Linked DNA regions of Canis lupus familiaris. The protein of the gene in region 1 purifies or fractionates together with the protein of each later gene. This does not show direct contact. Links are inferred from orthologs where the notes say so. Each region holds a gene or a part of one and is shown on either strand. Other genes may lie near its edges.

The links.
Region 2: the proteins of MED7 (region 1) and MED9 purify together in Homo sapiens (affinity purification with mass spectrometry; 5 studies listed by BioGRID and IntAct, counting the BioPlex papers as one, with this or other methods). This does not show direct contact. The link is inferred for Canis lupus familiaris from reciprocal best matches to the Homo sapiens genes MED7 and MED9.
Region 3: the proteins of MED7 (region 1) and CDK8 purify together in Homo sapiens (affinity purification with mass spectrometry; 7 studies listed by BioGRID and IntAct, counting the BioPlex papers as one, with this or other methods). This does not show direct contact. The link is inferred for Canis lupus familiaris from reciprocal best matches to the Homo sapiens genes MED7 and CDK8.

What each region holds. Positions count from the first base shown.
Region 1 is NC_049225.1:53,884,319-53,888,399, reverse strand, and holds the start of MED7 (mediator of RNA polymerase II transcription subunit 7), read right to left. Parts: upstream 2,876-4,081; 5' UTR 2,809-2,875; intron 1-2,808. UniProt on the Homo sapiens protein: Component of the Mediator complex, a coactivator involved in the regulated transcription of nearly all RNA polymerase II-dependent genes.
Region 2 is NC_049226.1:42,179,838-42,182,442, reverse strand, and holds the end of MED9 (mediator of RNA polymerase II transcription subunit 9), read left to right. Parts: coding exon 1-140; 3' UTR 141-1,958; downstream 1,959-2,605.
Region 3 is NC_049246.1:13,124,104-13,127,387, reverse strand, and holds part of CDK8 (cyclin-dependent kinase 8), read left to right. Parts: intron 1-919; coding exon 920-1,017; intron 1,018-1,717; coding exon 1,718-1,796; intron 1,797-1,916; coding exon 1,917-2,075; intron 2,076-3,284.

The DNA.
Region 1 (4,081 bases):
CTCAATTTTTAAATACTGGTAATTAGTTCTAGAAATGGTCAAGTCTTGTGAGGTCAAAAAGAACTTATCTACAATCTTTGTGGTCTGTGGGCCAATAGTTTTAGACTTCTGTTTTATATTCTCCCTTGGGTGATTATTAGTTAATTCCCTGGCTTTTAACACCATTTCTACCAGTCATTCTCAACCAAGGGCAATTTTGCCCACCAGGAAACATAGGGCAAGGTCTGGAGATATTTTTACTTGTCACAACTGGGGGATGGGGTGTTACTGGCATCTAACTGGTAGAGGCTAGGGATGCTGCCGAACACTTACAATGCGTATGACAGCCCCCAAAAAGGAATTATCCCAGCCCCAAATGTCAAAATATTGTGCCAAAGTGGAGAAGCCCTGTTCTGTGTTTATGACTCTGTACTTTCTAGCTCTAATCCAAACTGCCTGATCTCCTGGATGGCTCATAAAGCATTCAGGTTGAACCACTTGCATAAAGTCACAGATTAAGTAGTAGAGGAAGGATTCAGAACCATAGTATCTTAAACACTACTCTACATTATCAAGGATAAACAAAAAAACATTGCTTCCATCTTAGTGCCACTTACAACCTAACAAAAAAAACACAAAAATAACTACCAAGTTTTAAGGCTCCTACAGAAGGCCAACAGTTCTACCAAAAATAAGTCTAAAAATTCCACACAGGAAAATTATCATAAGCAAAATTAAAAGACAATCCCATTCTTTTGGGAGAAAAATGCCTGCAAGCTAACAGAGCAAATATTGGAAATTTTATTTTGACTTTTCAAAAATTTATTTTCTGACTCCACTCCCACCGGAAGGAGGGCACTAGGACTTCAGGAACTGCCGAATACACAACTCCATCTCCAGCACCTCAACACCTAAAAGATCCTCAATAAAGGCCCACTGATTGAGTTTTTTTTTTTTTTTTAACCTCCGTTTTTTAAAACAGAATAATAGACAAAAGAGGACAAGGAGGAGGGCTCGGGTGGTTCAGTCGGTTAAGCTTCTGCCTTTGGCTCAAGTCATGGATTCAGGTCCTGATCTCAGGGTCCTGGGATTGAGCCCGCATCCGGCTCCCAGCTTAGCAGGGAATCTGCTTCTCCCTTCTCCCTCTGCCTTTCCCCACGCTGGGCTAGCTCCCTCTCTCTCAAGTAAATAAAATCTTAAAAAAAAAAAAAAAAAGACAAGGGAAATGCAAATGCTGAATAAAAGCAGAAAATTATTCAGACTAATATACTTCTAAAAGCAAAGTTTTAAAAAGAATACTTTTCATCTAACGGACTATCGAGATTTCAAATACTCCATCATTCAACAAATATTAGAACACCTTCCATGCGACAGGCGCTGGATGCCAGCAGAGGTCGCACTCTCCCAGGGCAGCTCTTTCTGTCCAAGGGTCTTGCCCTCTCATGCTTCTATAAAGACCACTTTTTTGCACCACAGACGTCTCAAGAACTCTTTCTTGGCTGTTGGTTTCAAACCCTAACATCTGTCCTACGTCACAAGTGCATAAAAATGTGCACCAAGGGTGTTTAATGCAGCGAGGTTTGAAAAGAGTAGGAAAAGCCGGAAATCATCCATGACTTCATCAATATGAGGAGTGGATAAAATATTTCTCTGTAATATAAGGCGGCCCTCGAGTAAAAGGGGTAAAACTGCTTGCGGGGAGTGGGGGGTGGAGGTGGGGGTGATAAACAGTGTTTATATGTGATTACTACCAAAATCAGAGAATTAGCATTGATCTGGTTACTTCAAAAGCGACTGTAAGAGACAGCCCAGGCTCTGCCTCACTCAAGCATTTTTAGTTGGGCGCCCGGTTCCGCGCCTCCCCACGCCACAAGCCACAAGCACTCCTCTATTCAACGTGCAGGTTCCCAGTCCCACGTGACTGGCACGTTTTAAAGCCTCTCGGCGGACGCCTGGGTGGCTCAGGGCGGGATCCGGGGATCCGAGATCGAGTCCCACGTCTGCAAGGAGCCTGCTTCTCCGTCTGCCTGGGTCTCTCATGAATAAATAAATAAAATCTTTAAAAAAAAAAAAAATTAAAAAAAAAAAAAAAGCCTCTCGGTCTTCCTCACACGCCTGTCAGCTTCCTTCGCGAGAGGAAGACTCCGCGTCTCGGAGGGGCCGCCTGCGCCGCGTCGGGGCTAGCGAGTCCACGGCAACGCTCCTCATCCCGGCTCCTTTCCGCGGCCCAGGGCAGGCTCGCCCACGGAAGCAACCTGACGAGTCGCACCGATTCTGCTCATTCCTCCACCGCTTCTCTGGGGCCAACTCTTCCGAGGCGGTGTCTCCACTGAAACCGGCGCCAAGCGTCACGGCCGGTGACCGGACCCCAGACCCCCCTTCCGTGGGGCTCAGCCGACAGGAAGGCATTCCAGGGTCCCGCCCCGCCCCCGAACACCTCCCCCTCGACGTGGCCACCAGGCTTGGGATCGCGGCCTCCTGCACCCCGCACTACCGCGGCCGACCTCAGGCTCCATCCCCGACGAGCGCGGGCAAGGCCCGGGGGCCGAGGCCCGCCACGTCCGCCCGGCTCAGCACACCCGCGGCGCGGGACTGGAACTCAGGGCTCCCCCACGGAGGAAGCCCCGAGCGCGCCGCGCCGACGGCACCTTCCGCCCGGCTCCCCGCGAGCAGCAGCGAGGCCGCATCTCCGAGGGATGTGGGAGAGGAAGGTGACGGAGCGTGTCCGCGCCAGGCTTCCCCCATTCCCAGCCGGCCCTGGGGGAGCCGCGGGGTCCGGAAGGCGAGACGCACGCGGCACGAAGCCGCAAGCCGTCGCCGCCCACTTACCTCAGCCCAGGCTTGACGCTGGAGCCGCCTTCGCCTCCGCAACCGAAAGCCGACTTCCGGCCACCTCCTCCAGGAAGAAGCCCGTGACACTGCCCCTTGATTGGCTGAGAGAACTGTATGTTAGCCGCCGCTCTAGTCCCGCCTCCAACCAAAACCTTGCTACTGCGCCTGCGCGTATCTCCCCGCGCCCTCGGCGGTCGGGTCGCCGGCGGCCTCGGGCGTGGGGGTGTCTGTGCTAGTACTTTCTATCAGTAAAAGCTGCAACTGGTAGCTTCGCTCCTTTGTTATCTTTTTTTTTTTTTTGACACCTGAGATTAACTTATCCGTTTGCCTTACATGAAAATTAGAAAATGCAGATAAGCCGATTTTTAAAAATTAGATCGACTCTAATCCTACTGTCCAAAATAGCATTACATTTATTTTCAATCTGGAAATATTTATGAACGAGATCGGGAATTCATAGCGTTCTCAGTTTCTATTTCTTCACATTCATATTTATTTTCATTTAGGAATTGAAACATAGCTATGTTTCCAGGTAACAAAAAATGTATCAAAGTTTTTGGGAGGTAATTTTCAGAAGAAGTAACAAACTTATAAATTCGTGGAAATCTGACGAGAGCATACTGGACATAAAAGAAAATTGTTATTCTGATAAAAGTTTTCAACTTTGCCTCTAAAATAAGATTACTTGGTTTCATTTTTTAGAAAAGAACGAGATTCCGAGTATATGCAAAAGTAGAGGGGCGCCTAGGTGGCTGAGTGGGTGAAGCCTCTGCCTTCAGCTCAGGTCGTGATCCCAGGGTCCTGGCATCAAGCCCTACTTGGGCTCCCTGCTCAGCAGGGAATCTGCTTCTCCCCCTCCCCTCACACTGCTCTTGCTCTCTCTCTTCCTCTCTCAAATAGATAAGATCTTTAAAAAAAAAAGTGTACTCATTATCCACCTTCAATCTATATCTACCCATTAGATCTAGACATTATTTCGTTTTAATATACACGTCCAAAATAGGACTCTCATTTTCCCCCATAAGGATACAGGTGTTATATCATTTAAAAATAAGTTAGTAGAGGTGCCTGGGTGGCTCAGTGGTTCCGTGTCTGCCTTTGGTTCAAGTTGTGATCCCAGGGTCCTGGGATCAAGTCCTGCGACAGGCTCCAGATATGGAGCCCGCTTGTCTCTCTGCCTACATCTCCGCCTGTCTCTCTGTCTTTCATGAATAAATAAAATCTTTTTTAAAAAAAATAAAATAAAATAGTAATTATTTAAATTCATCAA
Region 2 (2,605 bases), on another chromosome or scaffold:
TCAGCTCCATGCCGGGCATCCACCTGAGTCCTGAGCAGCAGCAGCAACAGCTGCAGAGCCTCCGGGAGCAAGTCAGAACCAAGAATGAACTTCTGCAGAAGTACAAGAGCCTCTGCATGTTTGAGATCCCCAAGGAGTAGATGAGGCCGCCTTCCAGGAATGCCTGAGAAAGAAAAGGGAGACCACGCGTCCTCACTGTCCGCCCCCCCTCCCCCCACACACACACCACCTCAGAGTGTAGATCTTTCAGACTCCAGCTGTGAACTTTGTAACCGAGAGGCCTGGGGGTGGGGGGCTGCTGCTGTAGCTGCTTCTGTAGCTGAACTTGGCATTGACTATGTGAGGAGCCAGCGTGCAGGCTTGGCTTTGTCAGGGCCTCCTTGTAGTGTATATATCCATATGTCTAGATGCATAATAACTTGAGTGCCTGCTGGTGGAAGGAAGAATGTTCCTGGAGGCTGGGGAGGGGGTAGAGGATTCTGCTCCTGCTTCCGGTGAGGGGGCCATCTGCTGTGTATTCAGGCTCCACTGGCAGATCGGGAGAGCACAGGAGGAAAGAAGGTGGCTCCTCTTTGCTTCCTGCCCTCCCTCTTCTCCCACTCTGGGTATGCTCCGTGTGTACCAGGTACATGTTCTGTTAACAGCAGTGTCATGAAACATTTGCATAGAATTCACTGGACAAATTGGAGCTGCACTCATAGGGCATGGATTTCAAGTATTAGAAGAAAACCAGGAAAGCATGAATATTGTTCTGAAGGACTGCAACAGGGTGACTTCCTCCCTCTCCCGCCCCCACTGAAAAACTTTGTTTCCTTTTTATGTTTGAGCCAGTGAATATAATTGGGTCTTTGGGGGTGTCAACCCAGAGCCCTGCAGGCACCTTCTGTCTTAGGTTCTCTGCCACCTACGTGTCCTGTTACTTTTAGCTCTTGCTCCCTTTGTCTCCTGTGCCCTGGAGTCAGCTCATCCAGCCATGTAATGCTCGAGAACGACCAGACCACTTCAGACCCCATGGTGCTTCCCACGGGCTGGAGAGAACCATTGTCTCCACACAGGCTTCCGGGTGAGCGGGCCCTGCCTCTTTTCATTTCAGATTCCTCTTGTCCTGGTTTAAAAAATTAGTCTCCCGTCTGGCCTTCTCACTGAAGAGTCGACCGAACGTTGACTGCACTGCAGAGGTGACCATGATGCACTGTTCAGAGAAGGGTGGCTGCAGTGACCGTTCTGATCACCCATCAGTTCCGAGTCCCTTCTGAAGGATGAAGGAGGGCGACCACCTACAGCCTGGAGTTCTGCAGCCCCACTCTGGTTTCATTAATATTCAGAACGTCCCTCATTTCTGCCAACAGGACTTTTATTTGCGTGCTCTTCGCTTGACTGTCAAACTGACATGACAGCCTCTTAGCCTCTTAAAGACGAGGTGAGAAGTAGTCACATATTGTTTAGATCTAGAAATGGGCACATAACCTGTGCTGAGAAAGCCAGGGGCTTAACAGATGCCCGCCGATTGACCTCGTTGGCAGAGTACTGGTTGGACATGTTAGCAGGGGTTCCATTTGTGCTGCCCCACAGCCACCTGTCAGAAGGTGGTTAGTGCATGGGGCACTGGGACATGTGAAGGGCGGTATTCGGTTTCAGTGGCTTTGGACAGAAGAGCGGGCTCTGAATTGAAGTGGGTAGCCGCCTAGTCAACCACTCCCACCCTGGGACTGTTATATTTAACTGAATCAGTTATGGCCTTGAAATTTCAGGGTAGTGTGGGCCCGTTTTAAGGCTCTGACCAAATAGGAAACACAAAGCATCTAGAAATATAACCAGCGAGGCTTTTCCGCACGGCTAAAACGGATGAGGGCTCTTCCGAGGGCAGAGGGAGATGGAATCTTCCCTGTGTTCCAGGGTTTTGCCTTGTGACATTTTTCGAGAGTATAATTAAAAGAACTTGTACTCTGCTCTCGGGACACCTTGGTTTTTGTACTGAGAAATTCATTATAGGATGTCTCTTGGATAATTGAGAGGAAGATGTTCACTTTGCTTAAGGGGAGACAGAACGTATGGTGAGAACCTCCTCCCTCTCAGCACGCAAATGGCAAAACCACTGTCAAAACCGAGTAAGTGCCCTGAGGAGAGACATCTGTCCCCAAGGACCCCGTTGGCCTGACGGGTCATCCTTCCCAGCTGGGCCTGGCCCTCTGGGCCAGGCCTGGGCTCAGTCCCCAGGGCGCAGTCCTCCATGGAGCAGGGTGGAAATCCCTCCTTGGGACTATACTGAATGCCCCTCCCAGGGTTGAGCACCCTGAGCCACCAATTATTTGCTGGGTGGCAGGTACTTGGAATAAGTACTTATCAAACACCTCACTCCTCACAGTATCCCCACCCAGAGGGTGCTCTGTCTTGTGGATGAAGAATTTGAGGCTTGGCAGGTATCACTTGCCCCAAGCTTGCAGTTACAAGTGGCAGAAAGAGCTGGGTCCTGAGTCCGGAAGGGGTGCCCTCAACTCCCAAAGAGAAGGAGACCGTGAGGTAGAGAAGGTATCAGACCTGCCCCCAGGGCAGCAAGTGCTTCTCAAGGCCGGAGGGTATGGGGGGCCTGGGGATTTTGAATTGT
Region 3 (3,284 bases), on another chromosome or scaffold:
AAATCCCCTACTAAAATCAAATGTTCTGAAATAAATAAATAAAATAAAAAATCACCTCAAATATTTTTGTTCATAAAGTCTTAAATAAACTGTTTTAACCAAAAAAATACTGAATTTTCACATTAGTGTGACATTTTTATAGGTAGCAAAATAATAATAATACATAGTGCTTTCTTTGTGTCAGGTACCTTTAGAATTGCTTTCCATATATTAACTCATTTAATTCTGAAAACAAACCTATGGTAGCTGGCACTATTTTTAATCTCCATTTGACAAATGAGGTTGCAAAGAGATTAAGCAACTTGTCCAAAGTCACTCAGATAATAAAGGTCTTCAAGTCTCCATTCATAACCCCTCTGTACTTCACAAGTTCTGTATCAAGCACCATATTTATTTAGACAGGGATAACACTGGCCAGGAGAGCTTTCTCTGATGATCTGTGCTGTGCAATAGGATAACTCCTAGCCACATGTGGCTCTTGAGCTCTAGAAATGTACCTGATATGATTGAGAAATTGATTTTTTTAAGTTTAATTTGGTTTTAAATCTAAATAGTCACATGTGACTACTCTATTATTTGTGTTATAATAGTTTTTTTCCCTTTATAGAAAAAGAATAGAAAATATAAGAGTTTAGTCTTGTTCTAAATTGGACAAAACAATTTGCATAATGTAGATCATTGGTTTAGAATAAGGTAAAGGTTTTGTTTACTTCTTAGAACCAAGTAAGATCATGATTATTAGAATTACTAAATGTGAATTACTATGTTAAATGTAATAATCCAGTTTTTCTCTTGTTAATTTGGGGGAATAAATACCGCTCAAATTGTAGTGTTTCATCAAAAAACATGTACATCCCACATATGGCCAAGGATATAACTATAAGAAATAACACAATGTTTTTATGATTTATGATTTCAGCTTCAGAAGTTACTTACTATGGACCCAATAAAGCGAATTACCTCAGAACAGGCTATGCAGGATCCCTATTTCTTAGAAGATCCACTTCCTACATCAGAGTAAGTGATCAGTTTATTAACTCACCAGCATGATAGAATTTTCTGGAGTGGGCTTGTTTGAGTTGTCAACTCCAAGTTGCCACTCGCATTACATGGGGACCTAGGGAAATCCCAGTGACATGAGCTCTGATGACTGAGGTGTCATTTAGGGCTTTTACAGTGAAAAGGCATTCCTGTTCATGTCTTACTTTATGAAACATTACCAGCTTTATTTTCAGCCGTGCCCCAATTATTCAGTGACAGGTTAATTATGCATGCTGTAGCTCACTCAGACTCACTGAGATGGCCCACTGCTTACAGTTACAGTTTTGTGTTTTAATTACAAAATCCCATTCCCAAATAAATTTGTGTTCCCCATGTCATCTCTTATGTGTAGAAGGGAGAGTAAAAAAAAAAATTGTGTTCAAATAGTGACATTTCCACTGGAATCTATATTTGGATTGTAACAATAAAAGAGTGAGTCTGGGATAAAAGAAAGTTGAGTCATATTCGATGATTATTGATTATTTTCACACAATGAAAATCCTTCCCATGGTCTGCTACAATGTCCCTAGTTAGAAGAAAAGATTCATTTTGGCACAGTTGCATGAAGGGTGCTTATTTTACAAATAAGGACACAAAGTCCATCTTAAAAGATTAAAATGAAGCATCTGAGATACTGATTAGCATACTAGAAATTTTCTTTTTTTGTTGTGAGCAGCGTTTTTGCCGGTTGTCAAATCCCTTACCCAAAACGAGAATTTTTAACAGAAGAAGAACCCGATGACAAAGGAGACAAAGTAAGTATTAAAGTACATTTGGCTGCTGCTTGTTTTATTCCATCTACCGTGTAACATTTTCTTGTTTGTATTTGGTTCTCCTTCTGAGTTGAACTTTATTTTTCTGTTTAACCAATTGAGAAGAACCAGCAGCAGCAGCAGGGCAATAACCATACTAATGGAACCGGTCACCCAGGGAATCAAGACAGCAGTCATACACAGGGACCCCCATTGAAAAAAGTGAGAGTTGTTCCTCCTACCACTACCTCAGGTGGACTCATCATGACCTCAGACTATCAGGTATTTCCAGTTCATTGTGTATTGACTGGCCATATCAGTATTTGTAGATGGGTTTGTGACCTAAGAAAATGCTGACCTTCATGTCCCCGGGGAAAATATAGTGATGTGAGTTGTTATTGGCACAGCAGAGTACTGACTGTGGTACCGGACAGGGGGCCGACTTTTGAACTAAACAGACCTGGAATGATCAGACTTATAAATTATGCCATTTATGAACTGTGTGACCTTGGACAAATAAAATTTCCTGGCCTTTTCACCTGTAAAATGAGACTAGCCAAGCCTTGCTTGTAGTTGTTATAGGAATAGACATGATAAGTCCTAGCACCTGACTTATAGTAGGAGCTCAATCAGTATTGTGCATTGTTTTGAAACAACAGGTATATCAAGAATGATTAAGAATGATTAAGAAAGCTACATCTAAGGCTTTCAGGGGCATCTGGGTGGCTTGGTCTGTTAAGCTTCTGCCTTTGGCTCAGGTCATGATTCCAGGGTCCTGGGATTGAGCCCGTATCAGGTTCTGTGCTCAACAAGGATCCTGCTTCTCCCTCTCCCTCTCCCCTCTGCTCATGTTCTCTCTTGCTTGCTCTCTCTCAAGTAAATGAATAGCATCTTTAAAAAAAAACACAGACTTTCAGATCCCAGCCTAGCCACTGACTTTGGGTAACCTTGAGTAAAGTAATTCAGATGTTCTCAGTTTTCTCATTTGTAGAAGTGATGATGGCAAGTGTGAGGTGGTAGCAAGGATTAAATGAGAGGACGTACGCTAAGGCACAGTGGCTAGCATGCCATAGTGCTTAACAGATGTTACCACTTTTTATCATTTTTATTATCATTATCATCAAAATTATTAGTAGTGTTCATAGTATGCAGTAAGCATTTACTAAGTGGTGGTGGTGGTGCTGGTGATAACTAATAATAAGAGTTTGTTGGGTGTTTACTATGCCAGCTTTTTTACTAAGCATGAAACTTACATTATTTCCTTTGATCATTATGGGAACTCTGTGAGTAAGGGTTATTGTCATATCAGAGATGCTCAGAGAAGAACTTTCACATATTTACCTGTTGAGCTGGGGGTAGACCCAGGATACAGTCTAAGATCTGACAACCAAGACTGCTCTGTTGCCTGCCTGTGGATCCCATCAAGTGGTATTGTCAGTTTCTTTGCAGAAAGACAACTTGGAAAATCATATACCACCTCCCTGCTTAATT